Tribolium castaneum: one gene and its partners. The protein of the gene in region 1 purifies or fractionates together with the protein of each later gene. This does not show direct contact. Links are inferred from orthologs where the notes say so. Each region holds a gene or a part of one and is shown in the gene's direction. Other genes may lie near its edges.

What was found.
Region 2: the proteins of Iswi (region 1) and Chrac-16 fractionate together in Drosophila melanogaster (co-fractionation; 4 studies listed by BioGRID, with this or other methods). This does not show direct contact. The link is inferred for Tribolium castaneum from reciprocal best matches to the Drosophila melanogaster genes Iswi and Chrac-16.
Region 3: the proteins of Iswi (region 1) and E(bx) purify together in Drosophila melanogaster (affinity purification with western blotting; 7 studies listed by BioGRID, with this or other methods). This does not show direct contact. The link is inferred for Tribolium castaneum from reciprocal best matches to the Drosophila melanogaster genes Iswi and E(bx).

The regions. Positions count from the first base shown.
Region 1 is NC_087402.1:7,784,987-7,793,371, reverse strand, and holds the start of Iswi (chromatin-remodeling complex ATPase chain Iswi), read left to right. Parts: upstream 1-5,421; 5' UTR 5,422-5,585; coding exon 5,586-5,636; intron 5,637-5,717; coding exon 5,718-6,299; intron 6,300-6,653; coding exon 6,654-7,904; intron 7,905-8,137; coding exon 8,138-8,385. Other genes in the region: phospholipase A2 inhibitor beta, read right to left, coding at 1-829; Rpi (ribose-5-phosphate isomerase), read left to right, coding at 3,169-3,870; uncharacterized protein LOC660873, read right to left, coding at 4,575-5,096, 5,145-5,147.
Region 2 is NC_087399.1:7,014,616-7,021,003, forward strand, and holds Chrac-16 (chromatin accessibility complex 16kD protein), read left to right. Parts: upstream 1-3,394; coding exon 3,395-3,760; downstream 3,761-6,388. Other genes in the region: zinc finger protein 157-like, read right to left, coding at 175-325, 356-820, 868-884; uncharacterized protein LOC107398497, read right to left, coding at 1,107-1,922. UniProt on the Drosophila melanogaster protein: Histone-like protein which promotes nucleosome sliding of ATP-dependent nucleosome remodeling complexes. Part of the chromatin-accessibility complex (CHRAC) which uses energy/ATP to increase the general accessibility of DNA in chromatin.
Region 3 is NC_087395.1:15,336,494-15,343,458, forward strand, and holds the end of E(bx) (nucleosome-remodeling factor subunit NURF301), read left to right. Parts: intron 1-119; coding exon 120-315; intron 316-821; coding exon 822-1,104; intron 1,105-2,216; coding exon 2,217-2,406; intron 2,407-2,460; coding exon 2,461-2,882; intron 2,883-2,933; coding exon 2,934-3,129; intron 3,130-3,560; coding exon 3,561-3,645; intron 3,646-3,697; coding exon 3,698-3,903; 3' UTR 3,904-4,337; downstream 4,338-6,965. Other genes in the region: 4-aminobutyrate aminotransferase, mitochondrial-like, read right to left, coding at 4,421-4,539, 4,585-5,599, 5,652-5,926. UniProt on the Drosophila melanogaster protein: Histone-binding component of NURF (nucleosome remodeling factor), a complex which catalyzes ATP-dependent nucleosome sliding and facilitates transcription of chromatin.

The DNA.
Region 1 (8,385 bases):
AGTAAATTCCGTTTCGGCTCAAATCCAACTTAGATAAATGGTTGAACGGTATTAGAATATTGCCGTCGAAGGCAGAAATGCTGTTATTCGCCAAATTCAAGCTCGTTAAGTGTGTCAAGCCCGAAAAAGTCCCAACCGTAAACTTGGACAACTTATTATCAGCCAAGTTCAGCTGTCTCAGGGTCGAGAGGTGTTTAAAAACGCCACAAGTCAAATGACAAAGCTCATTGTTTTCCAAATTCAACACTTCCAAGCTCTCCAAACCCGCAAATGCGTCCGGTTCGATAGTCTTGATGCGGTTCTTCGACAAGTCAAGAATGAGGACTCCCAAAGAGCCTCCAAACACCCCACTTGGCAAGTGCTTGATCTTGTTGTTCTTCAAATCAACGGTGTTCGCTTCCAAATCGTCCAAAAACCCCGGCACGATTTTCCCCAGATTGTTATTTTCTAAATGGACTTCGTAGACTTGGCGGAGACCGGCGAAAGCCCCCGGCTCAATGTCTTCGATAATGTTGTTTTGTAAATAAAGGTATTGTATGTTTGATAAGGAGGAGAAGGCCCTAGAAGTGATTACTCTGATTGCACTTTCGGAAACGTTGAATGAGACTAGACTGTTGGAGAAAGGGAAGGTCTTGTTGGTAAAAATCCGGATGTTGCACTGCTCACATTGCAGGTGGTAGTTTCCGTAGAAAATGTTGGGAAACACGTCTCGGATGCGTTTGCAGAAATAGGTCCTAATGTCGTGTTCGTAGTCACACGCCGGTGGTTCGGCAGAGAACACAGTGCTTATCACCGCTCCAAGGACGCACAACAAGAGCGGATGCTTCATTGCTGAAACAGAATTATGTTAATGTGATAACTGGGCGAAATGTGGGCACAAACCTGTATTTGGAAAGAACACAACCCGACTAAGCTTGATGTTTTTGCATTATTCTCATTGATATTGTTTTCCAATGAGAGCGTTTATTTTATTTGTAAATTAGGTCATGATTTAAATTCCAGTAATCAGAATTACAATGAACTTTGAATTCAAATATGTGTGATGATTACTTCGTAGAAATTTTACTGCAACAAAGCCGAATAAAACTTTTAAATTGTAGCGTGATAGGCAACAATATGGGTATAACGACGTCCTTCCTTCACAAACCTAATTTTGTCATTTAGCCAGAACCGGCAATAATTAAATAACTCCGACGTTTAGACGCTACCAACTAAATATTTCAAAATGGTCTCGCACCTTCCATTAGTTTACCCGCACACAACTTTCAGAAGCTTGGCAAAATTACTTTCGCAAGATAAAGATAAATCTCCTGATGCATTTTTCTTAGATTAAAAGGCGAGCTGCAGGAAACACTACGTTCGAACAAACATGCATATTTTACACAAGTCTGGTCGAAAAATTTTGATGCAAAGCACGATTGTGTTACACGTCATTCAGTTTAAGTGTCGGTTCTAAAATTTTTAAAGCTGAAGTCTAATTGCTTGCTCCCAATAATCAGCTAGAGAAATAACTGTTCACCAGTTTGCATCCAAATATAGAGCTTTGCTGATACGGTGTTCATGTTAATATCCCCATCCAATTAGAAGAGCTGGAGATAAAAGGCGGAATTGCAGAAAAGCGTCTCAGATTTTCAGATTGGTAAATAGTTATTTGAACCAATGTTTGTTAAAAAGTTTCAAATATTAAAAAACGCCAGGTTTACACGCTTGAAATCATATTTAACCGATATATTTATTAAAGACATGCACAATCAAATAAAAAAGTAAAAAAAATGTGAAGTAATATAATAAATAATGAACTATTAGATTTTTCAATTTATGTTGTTAATTCATCTCACTACTTCCGTTTTTTTCAGGAAATAAGAGTTGTTAGAATACTTTCAACTACTTTAATAAAATACTTTTGTATTTATTTACTGATTTGGTTCGACTACAAGTAGGTATATTATCAATAAAAAAATCAGTAAGTGAGCCAACTGTAAGTGCAACTATCAAGTTTTAATTAAAATACCTGTAATCATCAAAAAGAGCGTGATATCCATACTAGTATCATTGTGATAAGTGGTGTTATTTAAACCAGTTAAGGTGCACCTTTATGGCACGTTCGAAAATTTTCCGGACACGTGAAAAAACATTAGCAAACAATAGTTTTTTGACGATGATGCATTTGAAATTAAATTAAATACCAGGTCAAGTATTATCCGCATCTCACCTCACAGTAAAAATTATGAAACCAATATTTTTTGCCGAGTTACAATATTTCATAATATTAGAGCACTGTTTACATTTTTAATTTAATTTAAACACGTTTTTAAGATGAAAAGGCAGTTCGTTCTTCTCGAAATTTGGCTAAACTAAGCTGAAAAACTAGTAAATTGAATCCAAAATGAAATTACTTTGCCGCTTATGCGTTTTTTTGGTCGGCACATTTTTTGTCTAGAAACACCAGTCTGCCAAAGAATAAACCGAAAAATCGCCGAAATGAATCGGAAAAATATGTAGTACGTAGTATTTTTTGCGTTTTTTAATATTATTTCAAATATTTTACAATTTTTTTTTAAATTACCAAAAAAAGCTGGCCTCAGAATACGTAAGTGTTATACTTACCTTTTTCAAATGCTTTAATCCCCTTCAAAAATTGATAACTCTATTGTACCCCCCATTTTTTTTTATTTGAAAACACCCCTAGGAAGACAACTCTAAAACTTAAGGTAGCAAGGTATTTAAAAGTGAAGAAGTTAAGGCTTTTTGAAAAAAAAATTATATATTTTATTTTCTTTTCATTTTGAAAATGATGCTATATTAATAACTCGTGTACTCCTACCTAACTAATGATACGAGTAGATTTAATGAAATTTAAATCATTCTCAATGAAATCAGAAATCACTAATCACTCTCATTCGTTAAAAAATGATGACCAACGGAGTAATAAATAATTACATGGGGAAAACGACACTGGTAATAGTTGTTTACGTTGAATAAGTAATTAAATTGTTACGTATTATTCCCACAAGCGTGCAATTTATCCGGTTTCCAGCTCGCAACTTTGAAAATAGAGCCACAAAAGGAAGCTGCAGAGGCGCATGAGCACGTTGCGAAACGTAAGTTGAATAATTTATCTTAAAATCCATGAATTTATTTCAACTTTTAAGGAGATCATTCGTCACGATGGCATCCCTCGAAAGTGCTAAAAAACTGGCGGCCTACAAAGCTGTGGACCTCCACGTGCAAAACAATTCCATTGTGGGTGTCGGCAGCGGCTCCACCGTTGTTTACGCCGTTGAGAGGTTAGCCGAACGTGTGAAAAACGAAAAATTAAATGTACAGTGTGTCCCAACGTCCTTTCAAGCCAGGCAATTGATCATCCAGCACAGGCTGCACCTAACCGACCTAGAGATACATCCAAGATTGGATGTTTGCATTGATGGTGCCGATGAAGTTGATTCCACCTTGACATTGATTAAAGGAGGTGGGGGATGCTTATTGCAGGAGAAGATTGTTGCTAGCTGCGCCAAGGAGTTAATTATTATAGCGGATTATACCAAAAATTCACAAAAGCTGGGGGAACAATACAAAAAGGGGATTCCGATTGAAGTTGTTCCGATGGCCTATCTCCCCATTAAAACGCAAATTGAAAACCAACTGGGAGGGACAGTTGAGCTCAGAATGGCTAAAGCCAAAGCTGGACCTGTGGTCACCGATAATGGGAATTTTATCCTGGATTGGAAAAACTTCCAGGATTATAAATGGGACACAATCAACACCAAATTGAATCTCATTCCGGGAGTTGTGGAGACGGGACTATTTGTTAACATGGCCAAGAAGGCCTATTTTGGGTTGGCCGATGGGTCAGTCAAAGAACAAATTTAATTCATCCATTGATTTATTTGAAGGAATGTTATTTAAAAATATATATTTTATATTTTTATATGTTGTATTTTCAAAATTAAATAAAGCATCTCGTGCAACACACATTTTACAATGGTGGTCTAACATGTGTAACCTTTTAACTCAGATTATTTGCCCACTCATCTTTGTCATGTTTCTACGCTTTATTTTTAACAAAAACCCGTATTTCTACTAAAACATCAAAAACAACTTGAATTTTATTTTTAACCCTTTTTTTCTCAGACAGGTTTTTCTAAAAACAATTTATTTTAGAAAAATGAGTCGATTTTAAAATTGATGTTTTTAGGAAAATCTGAGTTAGAAAAAAAGGGTTAAAAATCACAGTCAAATTCAACGTTGTTTTTGATGGTTTAGTAGAAATATATACGAGTTTTTCTTAAAAATAATGCATGAAAATTTGGAAAATGATTAAGACTGAGTTAAGAAGTTACAAATATTAGACTACTTACAATACTGACAATTTGTGCAACGGTGACTAGACGTTTCCAAACAATTAATTGGTACAGGGTGATTCACGCAAGACGACTAGACTAGCCTTACAATTTAATGCAAAACCAAATACATTTTAAACAAATTAAATTGCGAATAGGACAGGAAACTGTGCATTTAATTCTTGTAAGGCTGTCATTTTAGCATTTTACGAAATCACCTGGTATGTTTCCAACTTAGTACAAACTGGTTTTCTTCATAATTCGCAAGAATTCTTCCTGATTGATTTCACCATCTCCATCCCTGTCTGCTTCATCAATCATTTCTTGCAATTCTTCATCTGTGAGATTCTCTCCTAGTTCTTTAGCCACTCTTTTCAGGTTCTTAAAACTGATTTTTCCGGTCTCGTCATCGTCAAACAAGCGAAACGCCTTCATGATCTCCTCTTTCGAATCCTTTTCGGCCATTTTCATGGTCATCAATTGCAAGAAATCATCAAAAGACAGTTTTCCAGTTCCCTGTGTATCAATATCAGCAATCATTTTCTTGATTTCTTCCTTCTTTGGCTCAAATCCCAACGCTCTAATTGCCACCTTCAGGTCTTTGGCGTCGATCTTCCCAGAGCCTTCATTATCAAACAAATCGAACGCCTCTTTAATATCGTTCTTCTGCTCTTCAGTCAACTCAAATTTGGAGCCTGCCATCTTCTTACGAACTGAGGAGAGATTCTTTTTTAAAACAAAGGAAGGGGACGTCGTCTAAAATCAATACTAACGCCTAAGTACTTATTGAAAATAGTCAATTACCATTATCAGGAACGGTTTTATGTTTTTATTCCAAAACTGTTGATGTTGAGATAACACAACCAAACATCCGGCGTTTTAAACAATCTGACAGTCGGGACTACCAACATTTACAAGGCCACCGTCTAAAACGCTTTCACCGCCTTATGAAAAATTGTCTTTTAAAAATTTGTCCACATCATAAAATTCTCTCGTTGTTGTGGGGTGCAGCATGCAATTATTGTTGTATTTTCGCCCGAAAATGGGCTCAAAGTGTGTAGGGATTGTTGGTGTTTCACCAGTTTGACGCATTTGCCCCCAGATGCGGCCGTCCTGCGACTAGTTCGTAGTGTTTCCCGCTACGTATCGCTTCCGAATCATTAAATGAACGGCATTTTTCCAAATTATCGTCGTTAAAAACCAACATTCCGTAGTTTTAGCTAAGAATTTCGCGCACCCAGCACCATGTCCAAAGTGGAAGAAGGCGGTGAAACCGCTGACACTGGTGAGAATTCGGTAAGAGCCTTGTTGTTAAAACAACCACAATAGTAAAAGTAAAAACGGGTCATTGACTCTGCTTTATTTATGAAATTGAAGAATGCCTCGTCTTCGGACACCCTCTCGTCGCGTGGGAAGGGCGAAGACTTCGAGACCAAACTCGAAACGGACCGCAGCCGCCGTTTCGATTACCTGCTCAAACAAACCGAGATTTTCTCCCACTTTATGAACCAAAACAAAACGCCTTCGAAACCGAAATCGGGCCGTCCCAAGAAAATCAAGGAAGACCCAGTGGCGGACCACCGCCACCGCAAGACCGAGCAGGAAGAAGATGAAGAACTGCTGGCCGAAAGCAATGCCAAGGCCAAACCGACGATTCGGTTCGAAGCCTCGCCGCCTTTCATCAAGAACGGGGAAATGAGGGACTACCAAATCCGGGGGCTGAACTGGATGGTGTCTTTGTACGAAAACGGGATCAATGGGATCTTGGCCGACGAAATGGGGCTCGGGAAGACGCTCCAGACCATTTCCTTGCTAGGTTTCATGAAACATTATAAAAACACGCCGTCTCCTCACATTGTGATTGTCCCCAAGTCGACTCTAGCCAATTGGATGAACGAATTCAAGAAGTGGTGTCCCAGCATCCGCGCTGTGTGTCTCATTGGGGACCAAGAGGCCAGGGTAAGACCTGGTTTAGTTTAATTGTGTTTTGACTAAGGTTGGAAAACACAAAGTCCAACCTACGTAAAAATTTATAATATCCAAAAAGAGTGATAGGACAGAGCGCTTTCGCGATTACATTCTTCATCAGTGGCGTAAAAGGGGGCTGGTAACAGGGGGTTAAGGTTAAGGCCTCTTCCTTATCACTGTCAGTACAAAAATGATTAGAAGAGAGAATATGGTTGGAAAAAGTTGAAGCATCTTTATATTTTTCTATGAATTTAAGATGTTTTTCAACCTTAGTCATCATAACAACCCCGCTTTGATAGAATGGATCCTTTAATTCTAATTGTGTTTCGTTAATTATTTTTTTAGAATGCTTTCATTCGGGACGTGATGATGCCAGGCGATTGGGACGTCTGTGTGACTTCGTACGAAATGGTTATCAAAGAAAAATCAGTTTTTAAGAAATTCAACTGGCGCTACATGGTAATAGACGAAGCTCATCGTATTAAAAACGAGAAATCGAAATTATCGGAGATTCTCCGTGAGTTTAAAACAACAAATCGTCTCTTACTCACCGGTACCCCCTTACAAAATAATTTACACGAACTTTGGGCCCTCCTTAACTTTTTACTCCCTGATGTTTTTAACTCTGCTGATGATTTCGACGCTTGGTTTAACACAAACCAGTGTTTGGGTGATAACCAGTTAGTCGAACGCTTGCACGCTGTCTTGAAGCCGTTTCTATTGAGACGTCTCAAATCCGAGGTCGAGAAAAAATTAAAACCGAAAAAAGAACTCAAAGTTTACGTCGGTTTGAGCAAAATGCAGCGCGAGTGGTATACTAAAGTCCTGATGAAGGATATTGATGTGGTAAACGGGGCCGGTAAAGTAGAAAAAATGAGACTACAGAACATTCTCATGCAATTGCGTAAGTGTTCAAACCACCCTTATTTGTTCGATGGGGCTGAGCCTGGGCCCCCGTACACCACCGACGAACATTTAGTCTACAATTGCGGGAAAATGGTGCTTTTGGACAAGCTTCTGCCCAAATTAAAAGAGCAGGACTCGAGGGTTTTGATTTTTTCACAAATGACACGAATGTTGGACATTTTGGAGGATTACTGCCACTGGAGACAGTACAATTATTGTAGATTGGACGGACAGACGCCGCACGAGGACCGGCAACGCCAAATCAACGAATATAATGAGCCAAATAGCTCAAAATTTATTTTTATGTTGTCGACGAGAGCCGGAGGTTTGGGTATTAATTTAGCAACAGCAGACGTTGTCATCATCTACGATTCGGATTGGAACCCGCAAATGGACCTCCAAGCCATGGACAGAGCGCACAGGATCGGCCAAAAGAAACAAGTTCGTGTGTTCAGACTTATCACCGAAAATACAGTCGAGGAAAAAATCGTAGAACGGGCCGAAGTCAAGCTGAGGCTAGACAAGTTAGTGATACAACAAGGGCGTCTAATCGACAACAAATCGCAGTCTTTGAACAAAGACGAGATGTTGAACATGATCCGGCACGGGGCCAATCATGTCTTCGCATCGAAAGACTCGGAAATCACCGATGAAGACATCGACACTATCTTACAAAAAGGCGAAGCAAAGGTAAAATACTTAATTTCCCAGTACTAACAAAGTTCACCTCCTAACTACGTAGGAGACGAAACGAGATCTAATCTACTTTTTTTTATTTGCGTTGTATTCACAGTTATTTAAATACAACCATTTTTTTAATTTATTGAACTATCGAGGAGGTTTAAATTAGTATATCGTTTCGAATCCTCTAGTTATTTGTGCTCCTCCCTGACTATAACATTAATCTAATAAAAAAAAATTAGACAGCGGAACTGGCCCAAAAACTCGAAGCTCTCGGCGAGTCATCCTTGCGCAACTTCACTGTGGACACGCCAACAGAGTCCGTTTACAAGTTCGAAGGCGAGGATTATCGCGAAAAGCAGAAAAACATCGGTTTGAACACCTGGATCGAGCCTCCGAAGCGTGAAAGAAAGGCCAATTATGCCGTCGATGCCTACTTCAGGGAAGCTTTACGTGTTTCTGAGCCCAAAGCGCCGAAAGCACCACGTCC
Region 2 (6,388 bases), on another chromosome or scaffold:
AGCAAAATAAATCCGAAAAAAATTAATGTAAGATCCTAATACTGTATAAAATTTTCTAGACTCATTCAGCCTGTGCCTAAACTAAATAATGTTTTCGTAACAAAGAAGACACATTAATGTGTAACAAAAAAACAATATATTTTGTAAAAAATTAAAAGACAGAAATGTAAATAATTATTCAGATCCCTTGTGCACTTTACTGCGGTGCACCTGCAACTGCTGCTTCGTTCTGAACCCCTTCTCACATTCGTCGCAATCAAAGTCCTTCACATTGAGATGAATTTTCAAATGAACATTCAACTGTTGCTTAAACGTGAAACTCTTGCTGCAAAATTCACACTCAAACTGTTTATACCCCGAATGAACTAGCAGATGATTCTGCAACTGCTGCTTAAATTTGAAAGTCTTATCGCAGAGGCCACACTCGTGGGGCTTGATATCACTGTGCATTTTCATGTGGTTCCTCAGGTGGAGCTTTAATTTGAACTCTTTATGGCAAACACTACACTCGAACTCTTTTTCATCGCAATGGACCTTCTCATGGTTCTGCAGCGTTTGCTTCAATTTGAAATCCTTGCCACACACGCAGCAACAAAACGGCCTCTCATTGCTGTGCACCAAAAAGACATGTTTCTGCAACTGGTGCTTGAACTTGAACCGCTTCTCGCACAAGAGGCACTCGAAACTGTGGCTTTTGTCGTGACTTCTCACATGCATCTTTAGCCAATTCCTCCGTTTGAACTTTTTGGGGCAGAGTTCGCACTCAAACGGGTGATTCTTGATGTGGTTCATGACGTGAACTGTTGCTGCCTCGGCGAGACTTGACAAAGGGCCCTAAAAGCACTGATAAGCAACTAAAAGAGTTACTTGGATGGGACTGACATTCTAAGGTTATGTCAAATAAACATGAGTTTAGGGGGCCGAAGGCCCCATAAGGAGGGTTCAGCAAAACGACCGGCTTCTACTTAACGTTTATTCAAGTTGCGTTTTATACAGTTTCATTGATTTTATTAAATATTTACAATCTTGTGTGAATAGACGGTCGGTAACACAAAGGAATCTTTTTTACCGACTCACAACTAATTCAAAATAACTTTAATTAATAACTATTTACAATAAGAATGGTCGATTTGGTCGTTTGGTTCGACTTTAATCTCCCCCAGCTCAAACACCGAGTGCTCGTCCAAGTCCAGCGGCTCCACCTTGATGCACTCCTCGAAAATATTCTCCGGTAGTTCCCCCGCGTTTTGTATATCGTCCGGATCAACGCCTACGTACTCGGGTCCGGTCAACTTGAGGGGGTCCTCCCTCGTGCAGTCCCCCACACTCACACTGCCCCCAAAAACACTCACGTCGACCTCCTCGATCTGGAGGTCCAAATTGCGGCTGGGGACGTGGTCCGGGTTCAGCGGATCGTCCACCGGGAAGCCCAGTATGAAGTGGTCCGAGCACACCGTCACCTGGTTGTCGCTGCAAGCCCTGGTGAACCTCTTCCAAGCGTGGAAACGTGTCCAGTTCGTCTCGTTGCGCTCCAGCGTGAAGAAGTGCTTGTTTTTGTGGACGTTGTCCTGGTTGTGGCACGAGCGCACGTCGCACTCGCGGACGGTGATGGGGGCTTGGGGCAGGTTCAAGGTGGGGATCGCCCTCGCATTGAGGGTGTCTGGGACTGTGGTCTCTCCGTAGTAGTCGGTCTTCTGGAAATGCATGGAACAGACGCGCTCGCAACGCGCTGGGGTTCTCATGAGGAGGATTTCCTCCCATAGCTTGCGGATGCACATCAGTTTTTTGGGACCACCGGCGTCGAGGGTGCTTACGGAGAGGTAAGTCGTGTCTTTGGGGGGAAATGGGTGGAAAGATAGTAAGGGGTGGGTTCGGCTGTTGGTATGGCAGTTTGAAACCGAGCAAAAGTAATTATCTTTCATTTTTTCATAGATTTCAACAGGTTTTTGCCAAAAATGCGAAAGAGAGGTTAAGTGCACTGTTGACAACTGTCACAATAAAATCATAAATTAATAATAATTTCAACCAATTTAGGCCGAGGATTAATAATAATTAATTTAATCATGGTCGTAATATATTAATTACGTGCATCTGTGGTGGTTTTTGCACAATTTTTTCGTAAAATATTAGGGTACGTTCCATAAAATTGTGCTAGTGTCACTTGGAATAACGGATCCTTGTATCTCCTCTTATCTGTATCACTGAATTAATAATCTTTCAGTATTTTGTAATTATGTAATTATGTATATTTCATAATCATAAACGAATTTTTTGCTGAACAGCTCAATTAGGTCATTCAATTTTTTTTACAAAAAAAATTGTTTAAGTGTTTATTATCAGTTAGTTTATTCGTTAATTGCAAAATTTTCAAGTTTTTATATCGTGATAAGTAACGTCTAATAAGAATTTTTTTATTATTTTAATTTTTAAAGACTTGAATTCTATTTCAAATTTTTTAGAAAAATTTTAAATTAAGTATCATGTGGTGATAAATTTATTGCCAAAAACGCACCAATTAAACCCCGATAAAGTCATGTTTTTTATTAAAAAGGTGTTGAAGCCTTATGTTGACACGTGGATATATTGTTTCCTTTAATAAAGTATTCAAAAATTGTTACTTTCCATGTTGCGTTTTTGACAGATAACAAATCAGTCTTTCAACAACACATAAATAACAATCAAGTCACCACATATCTGTCGTTTGTCAATTACGGCAGTTGTTTTCCCAGCCGCCTCCCCCAACCGACCAAAATTTCCACATATAGCCCGACCTCGCGTACTTAAAAATAAATCACAAAAAAGCCGAATAATTTACACCGAGTAAATAAATAAATAGACAATGACGTCACTTGTCAACATTTTGGTAGCCTCTGTTCCACCCCCCACCAGTGCGTGTTTTGTCCAGTGACGTCTTGTGCAGTTTTCTCGAATCGCGTCGATTAGCTTCACGCTTTGTTACCCCATCGTCGAATACGAATTTTTGCAACAAAACCAATCGATACACCGTGCAAACGACTCATTTTCCCAATCGAAATCGCGAAAAAACCGCGAGTAAATTCCGGTCTAGTGTGCAGTGCTGCTGTCATTTTCCTTCCCGATCCAGAGTGCTGTGAAAAAATTTCGAGAGGGTTGCGATGGTTGCCGTTTTTTAGCATCGTTTTCGGGGAAAACGTCGATTTTTTGGTGAGTTTTCCACTGTTTGTTTTTGCGCAAAGTGGGCCAGTGGGCGGGGTGATATTTTGGGAGCAAGTCGCGACGAAAATACTCATTTATTCGTGAATTCGGTATTTTGGGACGAGGCAGTGGCGTACGCGGATTTTTGGCAAAGGGGGCAATGTCACGTGACTGCGTTAATAGACAGATGACGGCCATTGTGTGACGTCATTTCAGTGTCATGTCGTCCAAGCCATGGGGGGCCTTGCCCATCGTCCGGATAAACACCATAATGAAGAGTTCTTCAGAAGCGGAAAATATCAGTCGGGAGTCGTCGTTAATGATGACGAAAGCCGCCGAACTCTTCATTAAAATGTTGGCCCAGGAGGGCTATAAGTTATCCGCCACGGGTAAAAAACTTGATTACAAACACTTGTCAGAAGTGGTCAATCGGGATGAGAAATACGAGTTCTTGCAAGATATCATGCCGAAGAAAATCACGTATGCTGAGTACAAGAAAATGCAAGAGGGCCAACTGAACGGCGCCGAAAATCACCAAGAGATTTCAAGCGATGAGGAATCCAGCAGCAACTCGAATAGTGAATAAATTTTTGATTTTTCAATTTTTGTTTGATTTTTTTTCCAAGTTCAAGATTAACTGGCACGTGGCTGCTTGCGTGTAACGACTCTCCTCCTCCCCTATTCTTGCAAATACAGGGGTGGAATTTCCCCGGACGGTTATCGATTCGGACTTTCAAGGGCAGCGCTGCGGAAGTTACACCTGCTAGCCCTTTATTTATTTATTGTGGTGGCACCACTGACACAAAAAACCCTAAAGTCTAGCCCACTATGACCTTAAAATGCCTACAAGAAATAAACCCATACAGAATAATGCCCACAAAGAATAAACCCCACGTCGAAAAAATTCACATGAAAAAACCTAGGTACACGGAAAAAAGCTCACAAGTTAAGAAATGTATTGTGAAAAAAACCCACATGAAAAGAAAACCACACTGAAAAAAGCCCAGACGGATAAAAACTCACATGGAAAAAAGCTCACACAGAAAATACTCACATACCTCAAGAAAGAAAGAAGTTCACTACTACTTCAATAACTTCATTTTACGGTATCTTTAAGAGTTACTCAAAAAATACACTATAAATATTTTACATTAACAAAAAAATCTTACTTTATCCCAAACGCTACGTTGTACACTTTTAATAAGATAGTTGGCGGCACACTGGCGGATCCAAAAATTGGGGGGGGGGCTTCAAAAAATTTTAGAATGGTGAAGGTTAAGCTATTGAATAAAACTTTTATTTTAAATTTATAAGTAAAACAAAAAAAATACAACAAATAAAATTAAGTTATTTTTGTCTAAAAAAATTGCTTGTTACCCTTTTGGATATCCTAATTCCTACTCTTGAATAGGACTGTATAAACTCATCCTAAATATTTTTATTGTTATCCGAATAATTTTATAAATTTATAAATCTAGCCACGTTTATTTTTCCGTGAGCTTTTTTCTTGAGGATTGTGGGCTTATTTCATGGATATACAGTTTATTTCGATAGTATAGGCCCACTCGATCCTTGATTGTGACATAACCGGCGATTGTTTGAAGAGCAGATAAGAGAATTGATCCAGATTTGGGTCTCCTTATCACCGACGTTTAAGGAAACGGTCTCAATGTTTTTTTTTGTTAAGAGCTCGTGATGATTAAGATGTTTCGTTATCACTGAAGGAAGTTAACAGACCCGGACGAGTCTGAACCAGCGGCGCTCCTTTTTCATAAAACTGGCGCCAAAATTCAAGCCAAGATGACCCTCTTATCCACTTCAAATCACACTTTTAGTTCAAATCCCTTCTAATCTTTGATTAAACCAACATAGCGATAAAGATTCTTTGCACAATAACTACACTTTACCCCCTCTTCTACGCCACTGCCTCCGTAAATGATAACACAAAAGAGTATTTAGAAGTGGCCCCAGTCTCTCGTATCAGACGACACATGTTCGTGTCCAACCTCCGTAAAAAGTGAATTTTTCTCCCATTTTTTTCCGTCCAGTGCTGTTTTTACCCATTTGATGCCAGTGTCGGCGGTTATCGGGGGCGGCTACATGATGTTGGACGATTTTCAGTTGGCGGTTAGTAAATTAATAAATCAGTCTTTTGTGCTCCTGTTTACAACAATAGCTCACAATTGAAGTAACTTTTGACGCGAAACGGATCGAGGATGGCGGCGAAAATCGATGTGACCCGATTTCCTTGACATTGCGACGCGATGGCGAAATCCGGGAGACTTTGATTTCGAACAAATGAATATTTCATGCACAGCCGACTTGATCCATTTCTTAATCTTTTGTTTTACGTATCTATCGGATAAGAAGGTAATTAACCGATTAGATTGGGGTCAAGACGCGTTTGAAATGTGAAACATTTGCAAACTATTTCTGTCAGATTGAATCAGGATAGGAAAACACTTGCGGTTGTTTTTACGCAAAAATCAATCCGGTGCAAAGTTTTCCGTCTCGGGCGGCTGTGAAAAAAACACCGCTCGTAAACAAACGAGTGCGTTGACACAAAACTGAAGAGCCTCCTTGATTTTACTTAATCGTTGTCAATTGTTTATTTCAAGGCCTACGACACGCGGTATCGCTTAATTGCTGAGAAATTGTTTGGAAATTGTCATTTTTCGGCGTTTCCGCGCAGCTATTTATAAAAATTCGGATGCAAAATTGACGTAAAATGTTTGATCGTAAAAATAAAATTAACCCGCAAAGTCAGTTTGCCAAGTTATTTGACATTGTCGTGTTGCACGTAGGTTACAGTAATAATTGTAATTAGTGATCCGTTTTAGAGGTATTATTACTTAATTATCGTGTTTTTGACGAAATTACGGCGCATTAAGTGTCTTTGACCCCGAGTGATAAGTGTGAAAAAGCGCGAAAATGCAAGTCTGAGATATACAGACAGTTGCAGTTTAAATGAACCATGGCTGTATTTTGTAAAGTAAGGCAATAAGGAAGCTAGAGCGTCGTCTGCACTGTCCCATGTCGGCAAGAAACAACGTTGGGGGAGCCACTGTCCGCGCGTCGAAGGAACCTACATGTTTCGGTTTGAAACTTTGCTAAGTTTTGACAAAGTGTCAAAACTGTCAATCAGGGCAGACGACGAGCTGAGCTAGCTTGGTGTTATTTGTCAGTTTGTGTAGCGGCGATTGGCTGTTGCAGA
Region 3 (6,965 bases), on another chromosome or scaffold:
ACACGTGTTGGAATAAAAGACTGATGATGAAACAGCTTTTTGTTTACTTTATGGTCCTACAAAAGTATAGTGCACGGTCGGTGGAAATTTTTCTCACTAAGTCTTGACAATCCTTCCAGACGAACGAAAATGTGACAACTTCGGGTCGTCAAGTGCTTGTCAATGGGCAGCAGTCGCAAACTTCTGCTCTGCTTCAAGCCATGAAAGCGAATATGGAGTCTAATCAGAGTGTCACAACGTCGCCACAGCAGCAACAAACCGCTTCTAGTGATCAGAATAAGCAGTTTGTCGTCACGCCTGACTATATACAACAAAGTATGTTGCTATATCAACCATCTGTAATTGTGTACAATCCTAATTGTACCACTTACCCATTGCAAAACGACTTCGTCAATCGGTTTTAATTAACTTAAACAATCGAACAGTATTTAGAAGAGCAAGGGTTCCTACTCGATCAAAAGTTTCCCTATTGTGCGTATTTTATTTCTGTGATATTTTCGTGTTTTTGTTCCCTAAAAAAGACTGATTTTTATACATTTGTTCGTTTTCGCTTATTTCATGTGACGTTACCGGAAACTTTTGAGGTAAATAAATTATTATAATCTAGTTGCAACAATTTCCATGCGATGATGTAAGCTGTACCTAAATGTATCCGAAAAATTGTGTAATAAAACTGTTACAAAAAGCGACCAGGAGTTTCCTTGCCAAAAACCTTGCACTTCTTTATTTTCAAGTCGTTTTGCTTTGGGTCTCCTAGTTATTACCAGAACTTCCCTCTTTTATTTTGTATTTTTCATATTTTTTTGTCTGAATTTATGCAGCTATTAAAACTGCACTTAAACAAGAAAACCTTAATCCCGAGATCGAAGAGAAACTGTTGCAACTCCAACGATATCAAGAGAAACAAATGAAGCAAGAACCGGACATTCCCACGCCAGTAGCCAAAGTTAACACTCCATTACCGGTCAGTAACACGCGCTTTAACGTTTCGCGCAAACGGACCCCGAGTGCCAGCAGAAACGACGACAGCGACTGGGTCATGGAGACGCCGAAGCGCTCGAGGCCCAACAGAAACAGCGAAATTAAAAAAATTGACGATATACAGTAAGTACAATTTAATTAGTAAACGAATCAATTACTCAAGCAACAGCAACTAAGTATTAAAAAAATGCAGTAACAACGGAATATGTAAAACAGAAAACCGATCGGTTTTGCCGTGTTTGGTAAATTGTTTTAATTTTAGAGTCTTATTCTGCCTCAAAATGTTACAGTTTGGATTAAAACGGCTTATTTCGGACGATTCTTTGCTTCGAAACGCGGAAACTTTTATAAAACAGATTGAGAACGTCTTATACTGTCTCAAAACAACGATTTATCGTACAGTTTAACTAAAAACGGCTTATTTTGGACGATTCTTTGCTTAGAAATTGGTTAACTTTTATATAACAAACAGAACACGTTTCAATCTGTCTCAAAAGAACTATGTTATAGTTTGCATGAAAACGGCTTGTTTTAGACGTTTTTTTGCTTCGAAACGAGAAAACTGTTATTAAACAGACTAAACACGCTCTATATTCTGGCTCAAAAGAACGAATTAAGTTACAGTTTGGATGAAAACGGCTTATTTTGGGCAATTATTTGCTTGAAAACGAGTAAACTTTGATAAAAGAGAAGGAAACCGTCATATTTTGGCTGTAAATCTTGAACTAATAACCACAAAAATTTGCGTTTGCTAAAGATGCTTTATTTTTTCGACAATTTTTTGTAATAAATATTAATGAATTGAAAATACTAATATTCATAAAACAATAAACATTAATTATATTAACCGAAATTTTGAGGTTTCTCTGTCATGCGTGTGGTCATTCTTAAATGTTTTGTTTAAAAAATACGTAAAAAAAGTAGAAACGTAGCATTAGCGCTTTGTTAAAAAATAATAAGAATTTTTTTAGTTTCTTGGTCGTATCATAACAGTGCATCATTCTTCTACACGTTTCTTACAATATTATCAATATTTAAGATTTTAATAAAAAAAATATCAAGTAATTTTATGTTGGCGCAAATTCTAATTATGTAAAAATAGAAAAATTATTTTTAGTATAGTTGCCTCTGTCGCACACTTTGTGTCTTTTTTAGCCTTAAAAAATTAATTGCATTTGCTGCTCTATTTTGGTATTGTTAATTTAAGGGCGCGTGTGATTTATTTTTTATTTTAGTGAATCCAGCAAGGAGAAATTAATTTCGCCCCGCGCCCGCGTAAAATTAAAAGAGGCGGCTGAACCCGATCGAAAAGTAACCCAAAGAACAAAAATATTGGTCAGTTTATATCGCCAGAAGGAATTTCTCAAGAAAGACATTTTACGAAAGCGGGCCTTACTTGAAAAGGAATTACAATACGAGATTCAGGTAAATTGAATAAAAAAATTATCTTATTTTATATTGATTGTGTTGGGATTGTAGAAAGAAGTAGCAGAGGAATTAGCTGCCCGGACAAAGATCGAACGAACCAAACAAGATGAGGTTCGCACTGGTAGCAGTAAACGAAAATCGGCAGCGACGGCCACCACGGCGGTCATCCCTCAAGCCTCCAAAACTGCTCGTCACAAGAAGGGCCAAAAACAGACTCATGCCGTCCCATCGACGGCGGCACAAAGAAGTGGCATTAAAAAGGAAAAATTGTATTGCGTTTGTCGGACGCCGTACGACGAGACGAAGTTTTACGTCGGTTGCGATTTGTGTAATAATTGGTTCCACGGGGATTGTGTGGGAATCACCGAAGAGAGTAGTCGAACGCTGACTGAGTTTGTCTGTGAGGAGTGCAAGCAGGCCAAAGATACGGAAAAATTGTACTGTTTGTGTCAGCAGCCATACGACGACTCACAGTGAGTTGGCTTGGGTGAAGTTGAGTTCAGGCGTGATTCGTTTGTGTTTAGGTTTTATATCTGTTGCGACCGGTGTCAGGATTGGTTCCATGGCCGCTGTGTGGGGATTTTGCAGTCGGAAGCCGATAATATCGACGAGTATGTGTGTCCAAGGTGTCAGAGGAATTCGTCGGTGAATTTCGCAAATATGAAGGATTTGTCGCAGAAGGACTTTGAGGCGTTGAAAAAACTAATCAAACAATTACAGGTGAGGACTTTTTACTCTAGTTATAAAAACTGCTTACAAAAAATTCGAAATAATTGTTCCCATTTTAAATTTTTCATGGCAGTTATAGTGCATTCTATTTTGTTTACCTCAACACTTTTTTACCTGAACCGAAAACTTGTGCACCGTAGATTTCTGCACAATGTAAAACGTTTTCGTACAGCCTGGTTTCTTATAATGCTGTTGTCATTTGTAATATCGAAAACCATTTGAATTCAAAATAAAGGTAAAATATTTATTACTTTAGTAATCGTTCTTTTGTTATTTTTGTTTTTCATTCGTTATTATTATTTTTATGTTTTTTAATATTATAGGAACACATACTATTCTTATCGTATTACTTTAAAAAATATATTTATATTCATCTCTTTACATTTTTTAATAAAGGTTTATTATTATTTTTGTTTGTGTAGGCTCATAAAAGCGCTTGGCCGTTCATGGAGCCGGTGGATCCGACTGAAGCTCCCGATTATTACAAGGTGATTAAGGAGCCAATGGGTAGGTCCTTATGGTTTGGTTTTGGCGGTTTAGTGATTGTCGCTTGTTTCAGACCTCCAAAAAATTGAGAATAAAATCAATGATCAAAGTTACACAAAGTTGAGTGAGTTTATAGGGGACATGACGAAAATATTCGATAACTGTCGATACTACAATCCAAAGGAATCTCCGTTCTTCAAGTGTGCAGAGTCTTTAGAAGCTTATTTTGTGAATAAGATAAAATGCTTAAGAGATAAATTTATGGAGACCAACAAATGATTCGTTTCTTAAATGAGCTTTTTTAATTTTAGGCAATAAGTGCGTACACGGGATTTCAAGTTGATTGGTAATAGATCTCAGCGTAGGAATTGTGTGACCAACTTGAAATCTTGACTTTTTTGTATATAAGTTGTGAATATATGTACGAATGCGATTTAAGTTAGATTTAAATAGTTACGACATATTTTTAAAAGCTCTGTATTATTTATATTTAAATTAATAAACTTGTTTAAGTTTTTTAAATTATTTTCGGAGTTCATGATGTAGTGTATTTATATAAAACGTGGATATATAAAGCATCTATTCAGATATAGTTAGTGCCATTGTAGATATTGTGTTATTTAACAGAGTCTTCTTATGTTTGCACATATGAAATTTTTATATTTGGTCGGTATTATATCGACTTGTAACAGTAAATATAATATTTACATTAACTGCGTTTCATTCCCTAATCGCTGTTTTAGGCGAAAGAAGAGGACTGACGCAAGTATAATTTTTATTTTGTTTAATTATTACATTAGTTTTCCCTCAGGACCTGTCTGAAGCGCTCCAGGAACACATCGGCGTGGCGTTCCTGGAAAATGAGCGACGGTCTCAGCCTCAAAGAGTGATCCCCACAGCCCCCCATCAAAACACCTGAAACCGAAACATTACCCAGTCCTCAAGCAAACAAACACTAACCTTTCTGCTTCATTTTCGCAATAATACTGTCTCGCAAAGCGGGCGTGTGCGCATTCACGGCCAAAAACGTGCCACGTCCCCTGGTGGAGTTAATTTTTTCAGGAAATTCAGCCTCCAGTCTCAACAAGCCTTTCTTCAACTTATCCCCGACTTTATTAACATTATCCAGGAGATTCTCATTTTTGATAGTCTCAAGACACGCCTCCAACAGGGCGATTTTCCCCGGATCCCCCATCCAGGTATTGAAAATCCTGTAGGGCTGTTTGGGCCTCAAATCAACCGAATGGTAGTACCCCCCTGTCAGCATTTTTTTGCTGAAGGTGACGATATCAGGGGGCGATTCTAGATTGAAGTGTTCGTGTGCCCAGAACTTCCCTGTGGCCCCACACCCTGTCTGGACTTCGTCAATGAGATAACTGGCGCCGTATTTCTTGGCGATTTTCTGCAACTGTTGGAAGAATTCCGGCGAGGCCTCGTTGTCGCCCCCTTCCGACTGGATGGGCTCGATGACGATCCCCGCCACGGGTTTGCCCTTCTTATTGTAAGTCTGGATCAAGTCCTCGACCGCTGCGAGACACCTCTTGTCTTCGGCCGCGTTCTCGCGCGCGTGTTCCTCAAGGGGGTACTTGTACTGTGGGAAGGGGGCGATGGGCCAGTCGAACGAGGGCACGTCGAGCTTGTGGATGGCTTTGGAGTGCGTGGTGGCGAGGGCCCCCAAAGTGCGGCCGTGGAAGGCCCCATGGAAGGACAGCAGGGACAGGTCGGGGGCGCCGGGTGGCTTGTTACTAACGCAGCTCTCTTTCTCCAGGTCGGTGAAATCGACGTTTTCGCCTCGTTGGTGCCGGCGGTAGGCGATAAACATGGCTTTGTACGCGTTTTCGTTCGAACACGAGCCACACATCATTGTGGTGACGTTTGGGAGCCGGGGGGCCACTGAGAGTAATACGCTGCGGAGCTTTTTCGGCCAGTAATCGCCCGGGAATACGCCCAGGGCTGGCCGGTTGACTAGTGCTTTCTAAATTTTTTGAAAAACTATGATTAGGTATTTTTTTATTATTTGAACTAACCAAATTATCTTCATTTTGGAATACTTTGAGTAGGGATGGATGGTTGTATCCTATCGGGATTGACGCGATTTGGTTGTATGTGTCGAGGATTACGTTCCCGTCAACATCCACGATGTAGTTCCCGAGGGATTTGTTGTAATCGGCGAAAAACTGAACCGCTTCGCTCTGTTGGATGGCATTGAGTTCGGCGTGAAGTTTTCGGGAGTTCGGACCCGGAATTTCGGTTTTTAGCTGGGGCCCCGTCGGTTCGCCTTTGACGTAAGTCCTAACAGAGCCTACAAATTTTGTTTCCACTGAGCGGTTTTAACATATTTGCGTTATCTGTTGTGAAATAATAGAACAACAGATATGAAAACATTTTTATCGTGAACGTAAGTCAACTGTTTTTGCATTTTCTATTAAGGGAAAGAATTACTCCCACAAGTCATTTGCCGTCACATATTTTTAGGGGACACACGTTTTTTAAACTGATTCTTAATGGAGAATGTTCTGCTCACTGCAAATTCGAAGTTCGATAATCTGTTTTTGAAATCATGTTCGTCATAAGAAAAAGACGTTACTTTGTTCGTTTTAAGAGTTTGATGAGTTAACGATTGACAATTTCAAATTAAAACAAAAGCCAATTTATTTTTAAGGGTCCACTATTGGTCCAAAAGTATTTCATTTTTTCTTTAATACCCTAATGTTGAAAGGAAATAATGTTCAAAGAACACCCAATATTTTTTTCTGTTTTCAGGATTTTTTTCTGATTTAAATAAAGCACTGATAGCATTTTAACAGACTTTCGCCCCTACAGCCCGATTAGAAGAATGTATCCTGTAAGTTACTTTCAAAAACCTAACTTATAACGGTTGTAAAACTCCGAGAAAATTGACTGAAATTCGACCCTTTTTAGCGTTGGTATTCTCTTAAAAATATCCTTTATTTTTAAGAGAATTTAATTTTATCCTGTAAGTTACTTTCAAAAACCTAACTTACCTAACGGCTGTAAAACTCCGAGAAAATTGACTGAAATTCGACCCTTTTTAGCGTTGGTATTCTCTTAAAAATACAAACAATTTTACATTCAAACCTGTCCAAATATTGGAAAATGGTTTTCTTTTTTTGTGCTTACGTCGATGTTAAGTTAAAAATAATATCTGTTATGAAATAATCAGTAAAAACATCAAAACATTTTTATCGTGAACGAAAGTGAGTGTGATGCACTGATGAGTAAAGCACTTGCAATGGATTTTATTAAACGTTTAACCTTTTAAATTCGTTTAAATTGTATTTAAATTTTTATCCACACGTGTTTATGGCGTCCAAACATAG